3 linked regions of the Notamacropus eugenii genome follow. The protein of the gene in region 1 purifies or fractionates together with the protein of each later gene. This does not show direct contact. Links are inferred from orthologs where the notes say so. Each region holds a gene or a part of one and is shown in the gene's direction. Other genes may lie near its edges.

Region 1 (7,894 bases):
TCATCCAGGCCAGGCATGAGGAGAAGGGGGAGGGGCTGGATTTTGAGCTCTGTGGATGGTGCCAGCAAACAGAGCCTTAGGTCCAGTACTCAGCAGCCTCCTGGAGCTTCTCAGAAGTCTAGGGGACCTTGGAGGTCATCTAGCCCAAACTGCTCATTTTTCAGAAGAGGAAACTCTCCAGAGCTTTGTAAAGGGTTAATCAGCTGGCAGGTAACAGACTTAGGATTGAAACTTAGGACTTGCAGGTCTAAAATCAGTGTGCTTTTTGCCACACCATTGACAACTGGCACCCAGAACATAGCAGGCTTGTAGATTACTAACTGACTTGGGCCTCTCTGTACCAGGTCTATCCTCCAGGGGCCACTTCCCTAAGGAAGGGAGGATGGAAGTCGAGAGGTGAAGCTGGATGGACCCTGTGACTCATCAAGAATGCTGGGATGCAGCAAATTCAAAGGAAGCCACGGATCAGGGAGAAAGCTCCAGAACTGCCCTCATCTTGCTCTGGGGCCTTGGGCCAATCATTTCCTTTTGCTTCACCTATTTACCCATCCTTAAAAGTCCCCCCAGGTTTGAAATTTTCTGGGTAGAACCTCCAGGAAATGCCCCCCCATCATGATGGTATAAATAGAATTGAGTTCATCATCCCCACCTGCCAGTGACTCCTTTCTGCCCCCTTCAGACCCTGTCATGAGGCAGCCTGGGGTAACAGGAAAGAGGGCTTGAGCAGAGTGAGTCTCACGTCACTAGTGGCTCCCTACAAGACCAGGACACAATCCCTGAAGGGAGATTCATTTTCCTCCAAACCAGTGCTGCTACAATGCCACACTCCATCTGGAGGGAGAGGCCCCAGGTTCAAATCCTGATTCTGTCACCTGAGATAGCCTCTGTGGGAAGTCACCTGACTGTGCTGGGCCCTCTTGAGGCCCCTTCCTGCTCTAAACCGGGGAAATTAGGATCCCTGGATGCAGGGATGCACAGATAATCACAGGCCTGAAGAATATGGCACACTTCATTGCAAGCTCATTTCTTCTGAGAAAAGAAGCCTGTGTGGGATGGGGGCTCAGAGCAAGTCCCAAGGCAGTGAAAAGGGCTGGGTTGGCCTCCAAGGTGTAGCCTTGGCCCGATCCTGCCTCAGACCTTTACTCTCTGGTGGCTTAACCTCTCTGGCTCACTCTCTTCATCAGAAGAATTAGGGGTCTGGAACAGGTGACTTCTCAGATCTCTTCTGGCTCCCATATGTGCTATGAGCCTGTTCCAGGGCTCTTTCCACGAGGGGCTGCCTATGGCAAATAATATATATCCGAAGCACAGTGGAGTCAGAAAGAACTATGTACTTGTTTATCTGTTCATAGATGCTCACTCTGGGACCGTGACCCCTTCATTTTCTTTTCTTTGTCCTCATCCTTCTTGACCCGTCTACTGCATGTGACACTGCTCACCACCCCTTCTTCCTGGATATTCCCAACACTCCCGACTTGCCTCCTACCTGTCTGACCCCTCCTTCTCAGTTTCCTTAGTTGGCTTGTCATCCATATCACACCCCCAAGTGTGTGGGTGTTTAGCTCCTTTATCAGATGGTTTAATTACCATCATTCTGAAGATGGCTCCCACCTATATACATCAGCCCCAATGTCTCCCAAGCTTCACATATTACCAATTGCCTAATGCCCAGGATAGCTTCACCCCAGCAGGTCTAAAACTGAACGCATCATCTTTTCCCCACACAAGGGATTCTTAACCTGGAGTCTGTGAACTTTTTTTTTAATATTTTGATAACTTACTATTATAGCTGATTTCTTTTGCAATCTTGTTATTTTACATTATGCACTTAAAAACATTATTCTAAGGGATCCATAACACAAAAAATGTCAAGAACTCCTTGCCCTAAACCAGGGGTGGGGAACTTTTGGCCTATAGCCACATGTGGCCTTCTAGGTCCTTGAGGGTGACCTTTTGACTGAGTCCAAACTTCACAGACAAATCCCCTTAGGAATTAGCCAGATGTGGCCTTAAGGCCAAAGGTTCCCCACCCCTGTCATAAACCTTCCCTATGTCTGTGGAACGTACCATCAACCTTCCAGTCTCCCAGCAGCCTCCTGGACTCTTCACTCCTCATCTCACATATTTAATCAGTCACCAGAGTTTGCCCTTTCTATCTTCACAACATCTTTCCTTTCTGACCCCTTCTCTCTACTCATAACCTACCCCCTTCATTTAGGCTGTCATTATCTCCAGAATTATTAAAACAGTTCCAAATTGGATTCTGTGCCTCCAACCACTCCCCAGTACAGTGTGCCCTCTACACTGTTTGCCAGTGTAATTCTCCTCAAATGCCAGTGTGATTCCCCTATTTCACCACTTCTAGTGGCCTTATCGTTCGACATAAACTCCTTTGTTCAACTTCTAAAGCCCTATCCGACCTGGTTCCATTCTATATTTTCAGTTTTGTTGCACATGACTCTCCTTTCCACACTCTTGTGATTTAGCCACTATGGATCACTATCTGTTCTCCACATTTCTGTATCTCCAGTCTCCATGCCTTTGCACTGGAAGCCCCCCCATGCTTGGAATGTACTCCCTCATCCTGGCCCCAGGAGAGTCCCTGTCTTCCTTAAAATGCAGCTCAATCACCATCTTCTGCATGAAGCCTTTGCCAGGGACTTCCCTCCAAACCACTGTGCATTGACTATCTGACATATGTTTGCATTTATTCATGTTCTATTTCAAACGTACTTTTTTGTCTCCCCCACCAGAATCCAAGCTGCTGTCTCCTTCACTGTCCTTGTAGCCTAAGTACCTGTCACTGAGCAGATAAATCCCTGTTGGCTGATGGTCCTTGTTCTGCCATGGCTGGGCTGTGACATTTTAAGCCTGTCATGTAACGTCTGGGGACTGAAGCTTCCTGTTCCCCTGGTTGTGTTGTGATACAATAACCAGGGTGGGTGGTAAGAGCCAGTGGTGGGAAAAGCCCTGACCTGGGATCATGTTCCAGCTCAATCTCTGTCTCAATGGGTGACACTGGGAAAGTCACTCTTTCTTGCCCGTTTCCTTATCTATCAAAGACCTCCTGGGGTTTAACCAATGGTGTCAAACTCAAGTAGAAATAGCATACCTAAGAAACTATCTGGGTCAAATATTGACTTAAAAAACCATATAGTAACATTATCTATGTTCTATTGTATTTTTATTTATTTTGTTCAATATTTCCCAATTATATTTTAATCTGGAGGGGGCCATACTCGGGAGTGTGGTGGGTCGAATATTTGACACTGTGAATCAGACTATAGTATTGCTAAGATTTCTTCCAGATCAAAATATTCTAGGTACAAAGGTCTCCCCTACTTAGAAACTCCATGGTGCTATATTGGATGGGAAATTCCTTAGAAGAGATTCTATATTATCACAGACTGTGTCCCAGGATCCTCCTACCTCTGCTTCATCTGTCCGGAAATAAAAGAGGAAATTCACCACCAGTTTCACGAGCCTCCGTTTCACCACTGGGGGGAGAGATCAAAAAACAATGTGGAAGTTGGGCACTTGCAGGGAAATCCCAGAGAACCCCTGCCCAGAGCCCAGGTGAGACCAGGCTTCTCCCCTCAGCCTTTCTACCCTGTCCTCAGGTTCCTCCTAAATATGACAGTATCCTTTACTAGAATTTCCCTAACCTTTAAACTTTGGGAAAAACACAAAGCCTCTTGGAGGGCAGAGTCTGAACTAGTTTAAGGAGATTGGATGGCAGAACAGGAAAGTAAAACAAGGTGGAATGCCATGGAGAAAATCCAAAAATCCAAATTCCTGTCCTACCACACCCTCCTCTCTTTCCAAAGAGGGAAGCACCACTCTGTAGTATCTGTGCAGGGCCAAAAACAGCTATTTTAGGGGTTGACTTGATTCTTCTTAGTCACCCGGGGGAGTTCCTTGAGTCCCAGCTCCCCCTGTAGCCTCATCAGTAATGACAAGATCCAGACCAAGGAAAAATACCCTCCAGAAAGAGAAGCCCCATTCCCAGGCAGAGTTGGGAGCAGGACCATCTGAGAAGGCCGCCTTGGGTGGAGTAGGATGGACGGTGGGAAGACAGGGCCAAGGAAGGACTGGGAGAGAGGATTCTCTCTGGAAGGGCTGAGGTGGGAGAGTCTTGTATAGAGGCCAGACAAGGAGGCTCTGGGGCAGAGGGCTTGGAGGAGCCTAAGGAGAGGTTACACAGGAAGATTCTGTCTGGGGATTGCTGAGCTTGGAGGTTCAGACCTCCAAGAAGGAAACCTGTTTAGGACTGTGGCTCTAGAAGGCTCTTGCTGCTCCTCTGTCGAGTCATTTCAGTCATGTCCAACTCTCCATGACCCCATCTGGGGTTTTCCTGGCAAAGACACTGGACTGGTTTGCCATTTCCTTCTCCAGCTCATTTTATAGATGAGGAAACTGAAGCAGACAGGGGTAAGTGACTTGCCCAGGGTCACACTGCTAGTAAGTGCCGAGGCTGGACATCATCATAAAGATGAGTCTTCCTGCCACCTGATTCAGAGTGCAGTGCTCTGTCTACAGGGCCACCTAGGAGGGTAGTGACATTATTTCTGTTTGTTTAAGGTGTGGTGGTAGTGTTTGCAAAGCCAGCTCAGGAGCCATTATTTTTCCCCACAAATGTTTATATTCCATTTTTACAGCTTCATGAGTAGTTTAACCAGAAAGGTTAGATCAAGGTGGGGATTTTTCTTTGCAAGAACTTGGGAGCTTAGAACGCTGTATACAAGCTGGGGTAACTTTTCTGGATTCAGAAGGGAAAGGGGGTGGGGGCTAATAGTTTAAAGGAGGAGCAAGTCAGATGAACAAGATCAATGATTTAGAGCAAGGAGGAACCTCAGACTCTCTCCTGTGATGCCTTAGTTTTACAGAGGAGGGAACTAAACGGTTAAGTAACTCTTGGGCCGGGGGCCCAAACATCAGTCAGTATTTGAACCCAGGACTTCAAGGACTTAGGGAACAGAAATTCATGGGAGGACCTGTGTGGTGTAGCACTGGAGCAGAGAAGGAGGGGTTCGGGAGGAGTTCTTTGGGGAAGTGTGAGAAGCTGTGCACAGTGGGGTATGATCCTGGGAACCTCACACAGGATGATGGAGGGGACAGGCTGTGTACACGCTGCGAGGTAACCTCAGGACTCCGCTGAAGAGCCTGGGAGGTGATGGAGGTGGAGTGGGCTTGGGGACAGGGCGTGGGATCTCGGGAGAATGTACACGGGGGTGCAGAGTGGGGGCGCCGTAGGTTGTGACCATGGACAGGACCCTGGCAGGACTGGGGGGGCTGGAGGAGGGGCTGGCAGGTTTGCTCATTGGTGGGGCTGAAGCTGGGGAGGGGACTGTCAGGGTGGCTCAGCCTGGTGACTCGCGGGGTGTCCCTGGGGGGCTCAGCGGGGGGTCGGACAGGAGGGATTCAGGGAGTGCTAAGGCTGGTAGTCTGGAAGGCTCTGAACGCAGGGGTGACCCCGGGGAGTGCGGAGGGCTCAGTGAGGGGGGCTGAGGGAGATCCTGGGGGGGGTCATAGACGGGGGGGGTTAGGCAGGCCGGCCTCCCCTCGGCTCTCACCGCTGCCCTTCTTGGGGACCCGCATCCCGATCTCCGCCGCCTTCTCCGCCGGCTGCCGGGACAGCGCCTGGAGCTCCTTCTCGTTGTACCGCATCCTGACGACGAAGGGAGGTGGGAGGCCCCGCGGCCAAGTCGGGAACCTGCTTGGGCTGCGGCTCCGGCCTCCGGCGGCCCGCCAGGCCCAGCCGCGCCGCTCCCCACTCCGCTCCTCCCTTCCTCCCCGCCCTTAGGGCTCCGTTTTGTCCGTGTTCGCCGCCAGCGGCCCCAATAAAGTTTTTCCGCAGAGCGCGCCCCCGCGGCGCGCAATAAAGTTTTGTTGATGGCTGAGTTCGGTGCGTCTCCCCTGGCAAAGTCAATAAAGTTTGCGAGGGCTTCCCCGCCGCGCGCGTGCGCAGATCGAAGCTGGCGCGGTGGCGCGCATGCGCGGAGGGTCGGTAAGACGAGCTGGCGAAGAAGATAACGGCGGAGCGGCTCGTGGCGCTAGCGCCGGGAGGCGCCTGTTGTTTCTGTGAGGAGGTCGGTGAGGAGGCGGAAACGGACGCCTTGAGTTTTGGGGGGAAGCGGGGGAGGACGGGGCTCGCGACGAGGAGGAGGAGCTCTCCCCAGGAGCGAGGGAAGGAGGAGGGGGACGAGGAGAAGAAAGCGGCCGCGAGGCCTGAGGCCTGGGTCGCTTCGTGTGTGGGTCGGGCCTCGCGCCGGCGGTGGGGGGCGGGGCGCGCCCGGGGCCGGGGGCGCGCGGAGGAGGGAGGGTGGGGAGCGGGGCGGGCCCCGGGACTGGACCGCGGTGCGGAGGGTCAGCCTGGTGAAGGGGTCAAGTGAGCCCCGGAGCTTGGGCCGGGCCGGTGGGAGGCCCACTGTGAACGGACTTCTCCGTGTGAGTAGACCTCCCTTGTCGGAGACCCACTTGCGTGTGCCATGTTGGTGTGTTGGAGTCCTCCAGTACTGAGCGAGTTCCCCGAGGGTAGTTCTTACCTGGGGTGTATTTGCAGCACCTTGCACACAGAACAAGGATTTCCCTTTGTTCCCCCTCACTTAGTTGGTTTTCTGATGGCTTCTCAAATGGAAAGTCTGATCGCGTCCTTACCAAAAGAGAAGTGATTGGAGCGGGCTGGGACCCGAACACCGGGAAGTGGGCTTCCGCCTCAGCCCCAGGCGCGGCTCCTTCACCACCAGCCCTCGCTTGGTCCTTCCAGCCTCACTCGCTGTGGTCCTTGCTCCTTTTCATGTGTAAGGCCTTTGTATTAGCCATCTTCGTACCTGAAGTGCACTCCCTCCTACCTCATTCAACCGAAACTGCTCCTGGAAAGTCAGGAGGCGCAGTGGATAGAGCGCTGGACCCTGGAAATGAGCAAGACCTGATTCAGACCTAACCTCAGAATCTTAATAGCTGTGTGTACAAGTTAATTCATCTCTCTGCCTGCCTTAATGGGGAGTATAAAACTGCCTATCTCCCAGGGTTGGTTTGAAGATAAAATAAGGTACTTGGTTTTTTTAAATTACTTTGTTTCAGTTTTCTACAATCACTTCCATAAATCTTAGATTTCTTCCCCCTCTCTCTCCACTCCCTCCCCGAGACTGTGCGCAATCTTATATGGGTTTTACACATACATTTTTATGAAATGCGTTTTCACCTTAGTCATGTTGCATAGAAGAATTAAAATGAATGGGAGAAACCGTGAGAAAAACCAAAACATAACAGAAGAGAAAATATTCTGCTTCATTCTGTGATCCTGTTCCATAGTTCTTTTTCTGCATGTGGAAGGCATTTTGCCTCAAGAGTCCATGGGAATGTTTTAGGTTCTTGCAAAATAAGGTACTTGTAGAGCACCTTTGCAAATCTTCAAGCTATATATAAATGCTAGCTAGCTATATTACTAATTATTTCTTAACTGTAGGATCTAATGGCTTTTTCTCAATCTTCATCCTTCTTGACTTCTCTGTAGCCTTTGATAAACTTTCTTCTTAATACTCTTCTCCAGATTTCTTGTTACTCTGCTCTGTCCTGGTTCTCCTATCTGTGTGACTACCTCAGTCTTCTTTACTGAATTTTTGTTTAGCTCATGCCCCTGAGATGTCCTGTAAGCCTCTGCTGGGCCCTCTTCTGTTTCTCTGTACTATTTCATCAGTTCCTAGATAGCCAGTTATCTTCTAATTTCCAAACTGGGATCTCTGACTGCCTAACAGACATCTCAAACTGGATGTCCCTTAGATATCTTAAACTCAGTATGTCCAAAACTTAACTCATTATCTTTCCCCTAAAACCTTTATTCTTTCTAAACTTTCCAGGTACATTACTTTTAAGGACACGGTGCTCTTTCCCA
Region 2 (7,154 bases), on another chromosome or scaffold:
ATGGTTGGCAGTATTGACCTTCACTAACCTCTTCCTCCAATGCCTAAATCTGGGCAGGGGGTAAAGTTGGCTAAGCTGCAATTATGATAGGGCACTGAGATTTTGTCATCTGGCTCTGAATTTAGCATTCCCACAGCACTTGCAGGGAGCCCATCAGTAAGTTACCACAGAATTTCATTAACAAAAAATGATTGAAACAAGATTCCAGATGGTAGGATGTCTCTAACCCTCCCTGCACTAAGGGCAGACTTCATGAAGCTGGTTCTAAGTAGTGCTTAGCTCTCATCAGTACATCCACTGGCCAATTCTGCCAAGCTGGGAAGTGTCAGACTTCATCGTTGGTGAAAGGAGCAGTCCCAGAAGGTTCTGAGTAGAGGTGGGATCTTGGGCCAATTTGGCCATAGGACCATGAATTTCCTTTCTTGGGTACCAGAAGAACAAATCTTCCAGCACTGGCCAACACAAGAAATACCTAACATGCAGTCATAATTTCTACCAACCCTCAGAGGAAGCTCTTAAGAGGGTTTATGTAAAAAATAAAGCAATGGTTATTAAGTTCATGCTGGGAATGTTTAAATGTTCATTGATCTGGGTATTCTCTTCAACAATACAGAAGGTAGCCTGTCCATCCCAGGCAACACATTTTGTCCAGATCCTCCCAAAAGTTCACCACAAGGGGTCCATCCAGCACAGTAAAAAACCTTCCAGTGGCCTAGCCATACCAGATCTAAAACTGTATTATAAAGCAGCAATCATTCAAACTACTTGGTACTGGCTAAGAAACAGTGGTGGATCAGTTGGAATAGGTTAGGTGCACAAGGCACAGTAGTGAATGACTAGTAATCTACTGTTTGTTAAACCCAAAGACTTCAGCTTCTGGGATAAGAATTCATTATTTGACAAAAAACTGCTGGGAAAACTGGAAAATAGTACAGAGAAACTAGGCATAAAACCAAGATCTTACACTGTATACCAAGAAAAGGTCAAAATCAATACATGATTTAGATAGAAAGGGTGACATCACAAGCAAATTACTAGAGTAAAGAATAGTTTACCTTTCAGATTTATGGAGAAGGGAAGAATTTATGACCAAATGAGATAGGAGAACATTATGAAATACAAAATGGATAATTTTGATTACATTAAATTAAAAAGGTTTTGCACAAAATCAATACAACCAAGATTAGAAGTGAAACAGAAAGCTGGGAAATGATTTTTATAGCCAGTGTCTCTGTTAAGATCTCATTTCTAAAATATGTAGATAACTGAGTCAAATTTATAAGAATACAAATCATTCCCCAATTGACAAATGGTCAAAGGATTTGCACAAATAGTTTTCAGATGAAGAAAATGTTCTAAACCACTATTGATTAGAGAAATGCAAATTAAAACAACTGAGATAACACCTCACAACTATCAGATTGGCTAATATGATGAAAAAGGAAAACATAATAAATGCTGGAGAAAATTGGAACACTAATGCATTGTTGATGGAGCTGTGAACCGATCTAACCATTCTGGAGAGCCATTCGGAACTATGCCCAAAGGACTAAAAAAAATGTGCATACCCTCTGATCCAGCAATATATCCCAAAGAGATCATTAAAAAGGGAAAAGGACCCACATGTACAAAAATATAACAGCTCTTTTTGTGGTGGCAAAGAACTGGAAATGGATGCCCATCTACTGGGAAATGGCTGAACAAGTTGTGGTATGTGAATGTAAAGGAATACTATTGTTCGGCAGATTTCAGAAAAACTCGGAGTTAGATAAACTGATGCTATATGAAGTGAAAAGAACTGGAACCTTGTACACTGTCACAGCAACGCTGTGCGATGACCAACTTTAATAGGCTTATTTTTTCTCAGCAATGCGATGAATCTAAGAGAACTCCAAAAGACTCATGATGGAAAATGTTATTATTCACATCCAGAGAAAGAACTATGGCATCTGAATGCATATCAAAATATAGGATTTTCTCTCTTTTTTGTGGTTTTTTCTCTTTTGTTCTGATTCCTTTTTCACAACATGACCAATGTGGAAATATGTTTAATATGATTGTACATGCATGACCTATATCAGATTGCATGCAGTCTTGTGGAGGGGGAAAGAGTGGGAGGGAGAAAAAGAACTCGAATTCTTCTAAGATTGAATGTTGAAAACTTTCTTTACATGTAACTGGAAGAAGTACAGTACTATTAAGTGGGTGGAAAAAAATGAAAACCTTCCATCCAGTGGAAGGTATCCCTCATATACCTGTCATCTGTCATGTAATTCTTTGATGTCCTTTACCACTGTTACTTGGGATCCCTTGTTGGTTAGATGTCACCTGCCTGCTTGTGCCTACCATGTGCTCTTCTGGTGCCCCTGATGTGATACTAATGTTTAGTTCTTCAAAGACAATGGGCTTTCAGGTCTTGTTGTGATACAGCAGCATTGGTCCAATGTTAAAAAGACTGACCCTTTGCTATTATGGGAACCAATCAGTTGGTAAAAGAACCTTGCAATTTCCCAAAAGCAATCTAATTTTCCTTTTTCTTTTCAAATCTGGATCTAGCTCATGGTGCATTTATTGTTTATCTCAGAAATACATCCTGTTGGTCAAGCCCTGTAGATTGCCAATCCAGATGTATGTCAAAATCTGAGCAATACCCTGTCTTCGCCTACTTGATCTTTCCTGGATGAGCGAACAGATCAAATTCTTCTAGATAGTTAAAAGATCTCTTCCAGGAGATTCTGCAAAGTCTTTGGTTCGATGCAATCAACATGTCACTCTCAAACAGGAATGTCAAAAGGACCTCACCATTCCAAAGGACTCTTTGTGGATCAACATCAGGAAGGCAAATATTTGAGGCAAGAACACATCTGCCTATTTTATGCCACACTGGGTGTTTCTGACCAGAGAGCCACTGAATAGGGTTATTTCTGTTGATGCATCTTAGAATCTTGAATGAGCTTAATGTAGAGATAGGATACACCTAGTTAAACAGTAGCCTGTAGGGGAGGTAGGGGGGTCCAGGAAGCTTTTACTCCAGTGGAATTCTAGTGGAATGCTTTTTTTAAATCAATGAACACAAGGGAAGTTTATAATCCCTTACCACTGTATTGCCTCCACAGCAGCTCTCCTTTCTCTCTCTATACATATGTGTGTCTATATATAAGAAAAGAATGTTTTATTCATTTTTGCAAATCTTTTCTCTTTTCCCTCTCTCTGTGGTCTTCTTTCCACTTTCATTTTTTAATTCCCTCAGTATGACTTTGCTCAGTTGGAAATCTTGCCAAGCTTTCTTTAGACTGGTTTTACCCTCCACTGCTATCTCTGTCTGCTTCATGAGACAATTCTGCTCATTCACCATCATCCTCTGTAAGATTTTACAAACGAGTTTATATTCTAGACATGTATTGCCTTCCCAAGGTATTTGTTTGGCAAATAAGTCCAGTGTTTTCTAAGATGTTTCTTGGCTCCCTCGGTCTCCTTGTTTCTAGCAATTAATTTACATTGGTTTAACTTCTGACTTGAAGTCAATAGACCCTGTAGGACATTCATGTTTCATTTTTTGATTTTTCACAAACTCAGGGTTTTAAATAATTCAGACTTTTCAACCACTCGAGGGTTAAATCTTAAGTATTTTTTCATCTCTATTCTCCCCTGTGGAGATCGAGCTGAGCCAGCAGGTGGGGGGCTGGCACTGCAGGGTACAGAGAGACTGGATGAGTGGTCTTGTTGAGGTCTGGGAACCATGAGGTTTGGGGTGCTGGGGACCCCAAAATACCAATACGCCAGGTCCCATCGAATGAATTTAACGCAAGACTTCTTCTAGCCAAAGTAAAACAAAGTTTATTAAAGGTTCACCGTATGGGTGACATCAGTATTGACAAGTGGGCCAGAGAGAATCTGAGCTACAAAGCTGGAGCCGGATTGAATCTGAGCGCCTTCATGGAGGCGAGATGGAACTTATGTACAGAAAGACCATGGGCAAGATCTGAGGAGGATCTTGATGAGACTGGGGTAACTAGGGAAGTAGTCAAGGGTGGCACCAGCTGGAGGCACGTGGGTGGCAAGTAATCAAGGATGGAGGAGGCGAGGTTAAGGGTAACGGATCAAGTGTGGCACCGGGATGGCTGCCGGGTCCAGGCGCCACGCTTCCCTCCATGCTCCCCGCTGCCAGCCCGCCTCTCTGTGCCCAGGCTGTATTCCGGGCTCCACGTGCTGGGCAGCAGAGCGGGCAGGGGCGTTCTCACACTGGCCACTACCCAGTAGCTGAGACAGGGAGGATTCACAGAGATGTAACTGAACCCGTTGGATCCGCAGGGCAAGCCCACAGGAGAAGGAGAGGGGATGGGGGCTGCCAGGGTGCAGAAGCAGGAGCCAAGGGGGTAAGGAGAACCTCGCACGCGCCCAACCTATCCCGAGCTGCGCATGCGTGCCCATCCCCCTTCCAGGCGCCATGCTTCAGCCACACAAAGGGTCCTTGCTCAGGCAGCCTGAGATTTGGCGCAGCCGCAGGCCCAGCCTGGCGCATGCGCCTCTCGGCCCGGATGCGTTGGGAGGGGGAAAGAAGAGAGGCGCCACGGCGAAAGCGCAGTGACGAGCGGGCGCCGGAAGCCTCGGGCCTGATTTCCCGTCGGGCGTTGGGCCAGAGGACCAGAGCACAACGGAAACGGCGCCTACTGGTTTCCGGCAACAGCCGCCGAGGGGCGGCCCGTAACCCGGAAGAGCTCGCATTCCGCGTCAGGGCCGGCGGTGACGGCGGCCGGGGTTCGGTGGGAGCGGAGCCGCCATGGGCTCCTCGAAGAAGCACCGCGGGGAGAAGGAGGCGGCGGCGGGGGCCGGAGCGGGGGCAGCAGGGAGCTCGGGCCCGGGCACAGCCGAGCAGGCGCCCCGGCATCGCGAGCATAAGAAGCACAAACATCGCAGCGGGGGCGGCGGCAGCGGGAGCGGCGGGGGCGGAGCCAGCGAGCGGCGCAAGCGCAGCCGGGAGCGCGGGGCCGAGAGGGGGAGCAGCCGCCGCGGGGGCGAGACCGAGGCCCGTAACGGGAGCGCGCACGGGCGCGAGCGCAGCCAGGCAGAGCCTGCGGAGCGGAGAGTGAAGCGAGAGAAGCGCGATGACGGCTACGAAGCTGGTGAGCGCGAGGCCCGAGGGGCGGGGCTTGAGGGAGGCGGGGCCAATGAACAGCCGGGGGCGGGGCCTTCCCTCCTGAGTGGGCCAGTAAGGGAGCGCAGCCGAGGTGGGGGTGGAGCTTGAGGGGCAGGGTCGGGAGTGTAAGCCCTGGGCCGGATCTTTCCCCACTCCCATTAAGTCTAGGATCTGCAGGGACCCGCGCAGACAGGTGGGGAAACTGAGGCACAGCTGTGGTTCGAGGTCGCGGATCCTGGGGCCGAGGGAGCGTAACTACCACTGACCTGCGCTAATGGGGGGGGGGGCTCCGTCGGTAAGGTGCCTCCTGGGTGCGGAGACTGCAACCAAGGCGGGCCCCGCGCTGGAGGAGCTTACAGTCTGGCAGGGGCGACGACATCACTGACTAGGGGAGGCTTCCGGGGGAAGTCGGGCTGGGGACAGCCAGAGAGAATGTCCAGAGCCCGGGGGGAGCCCCTGGACCTGGAGGGGAAGGGAGCTGCGGCCCAGGCCGTGGGTCGTGGGTGTGAGTTGCCCAAAGAAGGGAATTGCATTAGATGATGTTAAAGATCCCTTCCAGCTCTGAGTCTGGGGAGCCGCGTCATGTGACGCCAAATCTGGGTGTGTTTCTGCTGACTCTGTACCGTCAATGTTTGTCCTGGGCCCTGGCTGAGACACGGCTCCTGCCCTCATAGAGCTCAAGTTCATTAGGGGATGAAACCCAAAACTTTGATGATCCTGTGAATGCAGCAAGCATGAAGGTCAGAGGGGAAAGGTTATCAACAACCAGGAGAGTGTTCTTAGAGAAATAAGACGTTCAAGTCTGATTTTAAAGGAGGAGCAGGAATTCAGGAAGGGAAAGTATTGGGAATCACCAAGGCCTGAAGGTGGGGAGCCTGGAAATGTACAGGGATGATGAGTAGTTCACTTCAGCTGGAGAACAGGGTGTGGGTAAGACAAGATGCAAAAGTGGACCATTCCCAGCTGGATGAGGGCCTCATATACCAAGGAAATAACTTCACCCTTGACTCCATGTTCTACCAGGAGCTATTGGAGGGTTTAGACTCAAGCAGTAATACCTTGCTCTTACTTACCTTAGATTTACAAAATGTTTTCCTCCACAACTCAGGTAGAGAGAATTAGCACCATTTTACATGTGAAGAAGTCAGAGCTCAGGAAGATTAGAGTGGTTTGCCAGAGGCCAGAGTGGGGTTAGGGCTGGGAGAGCTGAAAGTGAAATGGGCTACTGCAGTGGGCTTCCTGCTTAGTTATAGACTGGACTGGAGGTCCCTTCCAGATGTGAGATACTTTGATTCTAAGTGGTCTGCCAAACTCTCTATCTATAAAACAGAAATCTGTTTTATGCTTCTCAAGCAGGGCTTGAGATTGGCAGATTTGGAGGGATAATGAAACATTTGTAGCCCCTGACTCTTAACTTGTCCTCTCCCAACCAATACAAGGAAGTGCCTTCCCAGGACTTCAGGGAAGGTATGATAATTCCTGCAGAGGAAAAGCTGGCTTGTGGAGCTAAAGAAGTTTTTCCCAGCAAGGGTTGGCCAGGGAAGTAAACACAGTCTTCTTGTCTACACCAGGTGTTGTCTGGGGCTTAGAACTCCTGAGTTCTGGGCTTCCAGATGTTAATTCTTTGAACTGTGGTCAGGATGCCCTCAAAGCAGCACAGAGGGAGCCTGACCCTTGTCTTTCTCGTTCTAGCCACTGGCTCCAAGGCCAGCTCTGGAGATGCCTCATCTCTCAGCATTGAGGAGACCAAGTGAGTGATGGGAAGGCTTAGTTCCCCAATGCCCTCTGACCTCTTCCAGCATAGTGTTCTGCTAATGGACCTAAGGAGGCCTTGTTACCGATCCTTCCAAATGAGTGCTGAGTAGCATCTCTCCCCAGTTCCTTCTCTTTAGTCCATCCAGAATTTAGTTGCCCCATGTTTCCTGAGAGCCTCATAACCGTAGCTATCTCTTTTGTTCTCAGTAAACTCCGAGCCAAGTTGGGCCTCAAACCTTTGGAGATCAGTGCTGTCAAGAAA
Region 3 (7,971 bases), on another chromosome or scaffold:
AGTCAATACTTAAAGAATTAATTCAGATTATTCACAGGAAAGTAAAACACTGCAGGTGAAGCCTAAATACTTAAGCAACATATGAGAACAGATGAGAAAAGTTGTTGTTGTGTTCATATTTTATTTTTGACATCAGAGAAATGATAACATGACTTGCACTTGACTTTGTTTTGAGTGAGAGAGGGCTGTGCAGGTCACCAGCCTCACTTCTCCTCCAGAGTCATCTGAATTCAGTGATCAGATATTCATCAGGATGACTGGAGATGACCCAGAATGAGGCAATTGGGGTTAAGTGACTTGCCCAAGGTCACACAGCTAGTGAGTGTCAAGTGTCTGAGGCAAGATTTGAACTCAGGTCCTCCTGACTCCTGCACTGGTGCTCTATCCACTGTACCACCTAGTTGCCCCTATGAGAAGAATAGGGCTCACTGGAAAAGACCCTTATGTTGGGAAAGACTGAAGGCAAAAGGAGAAGAGAACACCAGAGGATAAGATGAATAGATAGTGTCATGTAAGCAATGAACATGAGCTCAGACAGACTTCGGGAGATAGTGGAGGATAGTAGAACCTAGTGTGCTATGGTCCAAGGGGTCATCAAAAGTCAGACAGAACAAATGAACAGCAATCTGCTCAGTTCACTCTGCATTAGTTCATATAAGTCTTTCCAGGGTTGTCTGAAATCATCCTCTTCATCATTTCTTACAGTACAGTAGTAATCCATCACATTCATATACCACAGCTTGTTCAGCCATTTCCCATTTGATGGGCATCCCCCTAATTTCCAATTCTTTGCTACCATTTGTACATATAGATCCTTTTCTTCTGTGTTTGATCTCTTTGGGGTATGGAACTAATAGCGGCATTGAAAGGTCAATGGCTATGCATAGCTTACTTTTTGGACATAATACTAAATTACTTTTTAGAATGGCTGAATCAGTTTCACAGCTCTGACAGTACATTAATGTACCTATTTACCCACAAGCCCCTCCAGCATTTGTCATTTTCATTTTTGTCAACTTTGCCAACCTGATGTGTGTGAGGTGGTATTTTAACTGACATTTCAGGTAGAAGTGAGAAGGTAGAGTGTTCTAGATATGGGTGACAACCAGTGAAAATGCCCAAAGTAGGTTGATGTGATGCAATGTCTTGTTTGAAAAAATACAAGGCCAGTGGTCCTGGATCAAAGAATATGTGGGAGAGAAGGGTGTAAGGTACAAGAAGTCTGGAAAGTTGTGTGTGAGTGAAATCGAGCAAAGGAATCCCCACCATTACAAAGGCAGGGACAATATAATTTTTCATATTTTTATTCTAAGTGCCTCTGATGGGACCATCTTGAGCACTTTTTTAGGATGATTTTTTGGTTTCCAACTTGTAACTTCATCCATGTAGCAAACTTCTGGTGAGGAAGCCACATCACATAAATTTGCAACTGTTCTCAATTTTTAGTCTTCTAGAGTTGCCTGGGGACAGTGAGAGGCAAGTCATTTGTCCAGAGTCAAGCCAGTGCCAGAGATGGATCTCTGCCCAGGTCTCCTGGACTCTTACACCAGCTTTCAACCTTTACCATGTGCAAGACTTCACAGTTTCCTTTCCCCACTTAATAGTATTTTATTTTTTCCAATTACATGTGTGAGAGACAGCAAAAGTTAAGTTTCCACAGTAAGTTATTGTTAATTAGTGAAGACACTGAGAATAAGTTAGATAATAAGGCCAGCAGATTGCAAGTGGACTCAATCAATCAAAAGACAGACAGCGGCCTTCAGAAAATTACAAAGTTTTTGATAAAACTTTGCCTACAGCTAGCTGGAACTAGTTAAGAAAACAACCTAAAGTTACCTGGAGAAGGTTTTTCTTCACTGCACTTGCTTAGTGAATCTCATGCATATAAGCAGACACACCCTGCATAAAATTATCCTTCCATTTTCTGATCATGGATCCTATGTTAAAGCATGTTTGGAAGGGGAATCACACTAAGGGGGGGTTAAGTAATAGGCATGTAGAGAAGATGGTGACCTAATGGAGAATGGACCAATCCATCTCCTGGTGGGAGGATCTGTCTAGAACTAACAGTATATAGCTCAACTGGCTTCAGTGCTCCCTCCTCCTGAAAGGAGGGTGGGAACCCGCTTTGGTCAAAGTGTTCAATTCCTCTGAACTCTGCTGTAATAAATTTTTCTTGTAACATCTAACACATGTAAAGATAGTTTTCAATATTCATTTTTGTAAGATTTTGAGTTCCAAATTTTTCTCCTTCCCTTCCTTCCCCCCTCCTCAAGGCAGCAAGCAATCTGATATAGGTTATACAAGTATAATCGTTAAACATATTTTCACATTAGTTATGTTGTGAAAGAATCAGAACCACAGGGAAAAACCATGAGGGGGGGGGGGATGTGAAAATAGTATGCTTTGATCACCATTTAGACTCCAAAGTTTTTTGTCTGCATGTGGATAGCATTTTCCATCACTAGTATTTTGAAATTAAGACTTTACCATGTCAGTAACAATTAATATTTATAAAATCAAATTCTTACTGTGCACAGAGCACTAAGCCAGAGGAAGTGGAGATAAAAAATTTAGATAAGACATAGTCTCTTATGGAATTTACAGCATAATGGTCAAATCAAGCTCTTACTATGTGCCAGGTACTTTATCCCCACCAAGTGTTGGAGATAAAGGTAAAAGACAAACCTTGCTCTCTAGAAGTTCCCTGTTTAATGGAGGAGACTAATTGTACAGGTCTATTTATAAACAAGGGGTAGGCAGGATGAACTGGAGGTGATCTCAGAGGGAAGGGATTAACTTTAAGGAGGATTAGAAGAACAGCCTTCTTGCAAAAGGTGAGGTTTTAGCTAGGGCTTGAAGGAAGCTAGGAGGCAGACAGGAGAAGGGAGAGCATGCCAGGCATGTGGGACAGTCAGAGAAAATGCTTGGGGTGGATGGATCATTTTTTTTTTTTTATCTAGCAAGGAGGCCAGTATGTGAAAGGGAGAAAGGTGTAAGAGGCCTGGGAAAGCAGGAAGGCATTAGGTTACAAAGGACTTTACAAGCCAAACAGGTGATTTTATATTTGAAGCTGGAGATACTAGGGAGCTACTGGAATTGACTGAATGTGTGGGGATGGAAGAGAGATAAATGAAGTGGTCAGACCTGTCACTGAGCACTGACAGTTGAGGGGAAGATGGAACGAAGAGAGATTTGAGGCAGGGAGACCAATTAAAGTAGTAAGATATGAAACCTCATAATAAGTACAGTAAGACAGAAAACATTAACATAGATAGTTATGATGAATGATATTACTTAAGAGAAATAGTCCTTACAGCTGTAGAAAATAATATTTCTTCACCATAGTATTTTTAAATTTAAAATTTTTTAAATTTAAATTTAAAATTTATTCCCCAATTACATGTAACAACATTTTTTTTTTCAAATTTTGAGTTTCAAATCCTCTCCCTCCCTCATTGTGAAGGTAAGCAATTTGACATAGGTTATACATTTGCAGTTATGTAAAACATATTTCCATGTAAGTCACACTGTGAAAGAAAACAGACAAAAAAGGAAAATAAAGAAAAAGTATGCTTCCATCTGCATTCAGATTCCATCAGTTCTTTCTCTGGAGATGGATTGTGCACAATAGTACTTTTAAAAAGCGCTGTATGAGATCAGTGAAAAGGGTGGGGGGTGACTTAACAACAGGGAAGACTTCAGAAACCTTCATATTCCTCTTAGTATGTAGAACCTAGCCTAGGGTCTTGAACACGATAGGCACTTAATAAATGTGAGTTCGGCAATTATAATAATATCTAATACTTAGAAAGCAATTAACATTTTGTAAGCACATTATATCCCTTATCTCATTTGAGCCTCTCAATAATTCTATGAGGTAAGTGCTACTGTTTAGTTGTTCCTCACTCTTTGTGATCCCATTTGGAACTTTATTGGCAAATCCAGAAGTGGTTTGTCATTTCCTTCTCCAGTTCATTTTACAGATGAGCAACTAAGGAAAACAGGGTTAGGTGATTTGCTTAGAGTCACACATCTAGTAAGCCTCTCAGGCCAAATTTGAACTCAGGAAGATGTGTTCCCTGACTTCAGATCCAGTACGATTTCCTCTATGCTACCTCCTGCCCATGCATTAAGTATTACAAGTGTCTCTTTTTAAAGGTGGGTTACGTGACTTACCCAGGGTCACTTTGCTACTAAGTATCTCAAATGGGCATTCACAGCCAAGACTTCCAGACTTCACTATGGTAACATTTTCTCTCTTTAATAATAACAGCTAGCGCTTATATATTTATATATTCAAGATTTGCAAGCACTTAAAATTGAATAAATGTTATTAGTTAGATAAGAATCGTAGCTGACATTTATGTAACCATTTGTAATTTGCACAGCTCTTGACAAATACGTTCTCTTTTGATTCTCACGCTTGGAGGTTGGTGTTATTATTATTTCCCCCACTTGACATCTGAGGAAACAAAAGCAGACAGCAGTAAGTATCTTTCGCAGCATCACCCGCTACTAAGTAGCTAAATTAGAACTTGAACTCAAGCCTTCCAGACTCCAGGTCACGTGCACTTGTACGTCCTCAGGAGGGACTAGGAAGCTTAAAGGCTAGCTAGATGACGCAATGCTTTCTGAGTGTCACTGGCATATTTGGAAGCTCTACTTCACCTGGCCAGTGGCATTACAGACCTGCGTACACATGCACCTCTATGGGGGCTAAGGTGGGCGCACGGGTCCACAGCTAAGGATACAAATAAAAGACGGACTGGGAAGCTTTTGTCATTCTTTGATCCACTGGCTGTTCAGCTCTTAGGTCGGCCGCCTCACACGAGAGCTGCCAGTCCAAGACCCAGGCGGGCAGGCGCGCTGTGGAGCCCTGCCTGGGCACTGGGAAGAGGAGACTGTACCAGCGGTGTGTACTAGCCCTTTAAGAGGACGCCCCGGAGCGCCGGGGGGCGGAGCCTGAGTCGACGCTAGGCCGCTGTCACGTGTGTCGGCGTCAGAGACCTCGGGGGTCACGTGGTGGCTGGGTTGGGGAAAATGGCGGCTTCGGGGGAAAGTGGGGCCTCGGGCGGCGGCGGCGGCAGCACCGAGGAGGCGTTTATGACCTTCTACAGCGAGGTGAGTCAGACAGCGGCCCCGGCAGCGGCGATGGTTGCGCCCGGAGCTAGGCCCGTGGCGGCGGTGACGGCCCTGGCCGCTCCGCGAGGGCCTGAGGCCCGCTCGGGGTCCGCTGGCGGTGCCGGGCCTGGCGTAGCCGCCTCCTTCCCTGGCCTTGGGCCCGCCCTCCTTGGGTACCCCTTTCTCCCAGCCCCTACCCTGGCTTCTCCCCGTTCTTCTCGGCTCTGACTCCTCCTCTCCCTGCCTCCCTTTTTGCTCTCCTCGGGTTGTTCCCCCGACTCTTCTGTCTCTGGGTCCCTGCTCCCTCCCTCCCGGCGTCCGCTCCCGCTTCTTGTTACCCCGCTCCCTCCCTGCTGTCGCCTCCCCTTCTGTCCTCCTGCTACAGCCTTCTCTTGCCCCCCCTTTCCCGCTCATGCTGCCGCTTCTCTTGCTGTGGGGAGCAGCTCTTCCGTAGTCTTCCCCTGGATGTGGGGGAGCCCCTGGAGCCCTTTCCCCCGACAGCAGGGATGCCGGAGGGGAGCTTGGGGAGCCTGCCCCACGCCGAGGCCCTTGGTCGCCTCCACGTTCACACGGTTTGGCCGAGGAAGGACTGCGGTGGGACTCGCGGCCGGCCTGCGCGTAGAGTAGGATGTCAATTTCCTGAGGGCGGGGAGCGAGTGTCTCAAGCCTGTCTTTGTATCCCCAGCGTTAGCTCCGTGCCTGGCACGTGGTGAGGCCTCCTCTGTTGATTGGTTGATCTCATCTGACCCTCTCGGGTGCTCTGAATTTTACAGATGAGGAAACTGAAGCCGAAGAGGTAAAGTGACTTGCCCACAGTTGAACTTCTCATAAGTGTCTAGGGTGGAATTCAAACCCTGCCCTTCTTCACTCTAGAGTCAGAGCTTTGTCTCCTGCTCCACGGGTTCTTAGAAACCCAGGGCTCATGAACTTTTTTTTTTTTTTAATATTTTGGTAATCATTTCAACAAAATTGGCCTCCTTTGTAATCTTATTAATTTAATTTTATGCGTTTACTTTATTCTGAGAAGACCAGCCACAGGCTTCACCAGTCTGCTCCAAGGGGCCAAACCTAAAGAAAGCTAAGAGTCACCTTGTTACACCAGGTTTGCAGAGGTTGTTGTGGCATTTTTTGGGAGGGAGAGGGAGGAATTTGACCTCCACTCCTTTGCCTTCCCTACATATCACAGATTATGTTACAGCTCCCTTTTTGTTGTTGGGGTGGGGTGCAGTTTACCGACACATTTTTAAATCTTTTAGATTTTTAGATCCCAGTTTCACTATTTGGCTCAATCCCCTCATTTCACTTTGGAGGGAACTTAATACCAAAACATTGTAAGTTTAAAAAAATTTTTTTTTCTGCCTTAAAAGAAGAAAAGTTCAGGGTCCCTTAGAGCCTCAGTCTTTTCAGAATTGAATTAAACACTTTTTAGTACTAGTTATTCTACAAAGGTTAAGGATTCTCCTACAAACACAGTTCCACTTTTCAGAGAACAGAATTCTCAACACTGTGTTAACTTGTACACTTCTATTTTCAAATGAATATTGTCAACATTTCTTTGTGATTGGCTATGTTATAGTATTGCCCCCATTTTACAGAAAAGGAAACAGGCTGAACAAGTGCAAGTGATTTTTTTCACAGTCCCATAGGCAGTGGGTGTTTTTATAATTCATTTCAGTTATTTCCTATGTCCTGTGCTTACTATCCAGCACTCTTTTCACAGCCCTTTTTGCCTCCCCAGTTCTGATATCATAGAAGCTTGCTTCCTCAATTACAAACACTGGCTCCTGGTGTAAGGAACTTTTGTAAGGGAGGAGGGGAAGAAAAGGGGAGCAGGAACATTCCTGAAGCAAGAGAGGAAGAAAGGTAGACGTTTGGAGGCCACAGTGGAATCCCCTTCAGTGGAGATTAAACCCATTAAAATCACTTGGGAGAAATTGTTTCCATGACAGTTGACATTGGTGTGGTGGCATTGAATTCCAAAGGAACAGTTGAAGAGAAAGTATACAGAGATGGAAAGGACTTGGACTCAAATCCTAGTGCTTTTTTTCCTTCCTACTTGTGTGACCTTGTTAACTTCTCTGGTCATAATCTTTTCCGTAAAATAATGGAATTGGACTAGATCGGGGGCTCTTGATAGATAAATTTCAAGGGGTTTGTGAACTTAGGGAAAATAGCTACATCTTTATTTTCACTAACCTCTAGCCAAAATTTGCTATTTCCTTCAGTAATTTTAATAATTTTATGGTGAGGAGGGGCCAAAAGATCCCTGTTAGAAAAAATATTAGGAACCCTTGGTCTAGGTGCTCTCTAATACACCTTCTAGCTTAAAATTCTGTGAAGTGGCTTAGCCTGATCTTGAAGGGGTGGCAGGATAAAGAGTGCTGGTCTAGGAGTAAGCTGAACTAAGTTCAAACCTCATCACCATGACGGCTATAACTCAAATTACTTAACCAGCCTCTGCTTCCTCACCTTTAAAAATAAAGGGGTTTAACCAAACGATCTTTGAAATTGATTGCAGCTCTAAATTCTATTCCTTTAAGAAGTGACTTTGATTTAAGGAGCAAAGTTACTCTGGAGACACTGAGCATGGTTTTCCTTCACTTTCTCAAGAGTTCTTTTAACCTAAAAGGGTACTCCTTGCCTTGGGTGCCAAGTTTTATTCTATCTCCTTACTGGGACTTGATTATCTAGGCATTGATTAGAAAAATAGCTCTCCATGCTTTTATGAACTGGATAGGAAAGATCCTCCATGTTCCTCAGGGTTTTGTGTTCCCAAGGTCCTTTTTGTCTAAGTTTTGCAAAGGCTGAGATGATAAATAGCATCTGGGTTTTGAACAGTTCTCTAGG

Evidence for each region. Proteins that work in one complex are often made in the same cells at the same time.
Region 2: the proteins of SF3A2 (region 1) and SART1 purify together in Homo sapiens (affinity purification with mass spectrometry; 3 studies listed by BioGRID and IntAct, with this or other methods). This does not show direct contact. The link is inferred for Notamacropus eugenii from reciprocal best matches to the Homo sapiens genes SF3A2 and SART1.
Region 3: the proteins of SF3A2 (region 1) and DNAJC8 purify together in Homo sapiens (affinity purification with mass spectrometry; 3 studies listed by BioGRID and IntAct, with this or other methods). This does not show direct contact. The link is inferred for Notamacropus eugenii from reciprocal best matches to the Homo sapiens genes SF3A2 and DNAJC8.

What each region holds. Positions count from the first base shown.
Region 1 is NC_092875.1:64,094,159-64,102,052, reverse strand, and holds the start of SF3A2 (splicing factor 3A subunit 2), read left to right. Parts: upstream 1-4,882; 5' UTR 4,883-5,137; intron 5,138-5,573; coding exon of another isoform or gene 5,574-5,667; exon of another isoform or gene 5,668-5,835; intron 5,836-5,868; exon of another isoform or gene 5,869-6,089; intron 6,090-6,320; exon of another isoform or gene 6,321-7,051; intron 7,052-7,894. Other genes in the region: PLEKHJ1 (pleckstrin homology domain-containing family J member 1), read right to left, coding at 3,430-3,497, 5,574-5,667. UniProt on the Homo sapiens protein: Component of the 17S U2 SnRNP complex of the spliceosome, a large ribonucleoprotein complex that removes introns from transcribed pre-mRNAs.
Region 2 is NC_092873.1:18,652,061-18,659,214, forward strand, and holds the start of SART1 (U4/U6.U5 tri-snRNP-associated protein 1), read left to right. Parts: upstream 1-4,138; 5' UTR 4,139-4,780; coding exon 4,781-5,123; intron 5,124-6,829; coding exon 6,830-6,887; intron 6,888-7,099; coding exon 7,100-7,154. UniProt on the Homo sapiens protein: Plays a role in mRNA splicing as a component of the U4/U6-U5 tri-snRNP, one of the building blocks of the spliceosome. May also bind to DNA.
Region 3 is NC_092876.1:69,358,526-69,366,496, reverse strand, and holds the start of DNAJC8 (dnaJ homolog subfamily C member 8), read left to right. Parts: upstream 1-4,955; 5' UTR 4,956-5,043; coding exon 5,044-5,124; intron 5,125-5,809; exon of another isoform or gene 5,810-5,920; intron 5,921-7,971. UniProt on the Homo sapiens protein: Suppresses polyglutamine (polyQ) aggregation of ATXN3 in neuronal cells.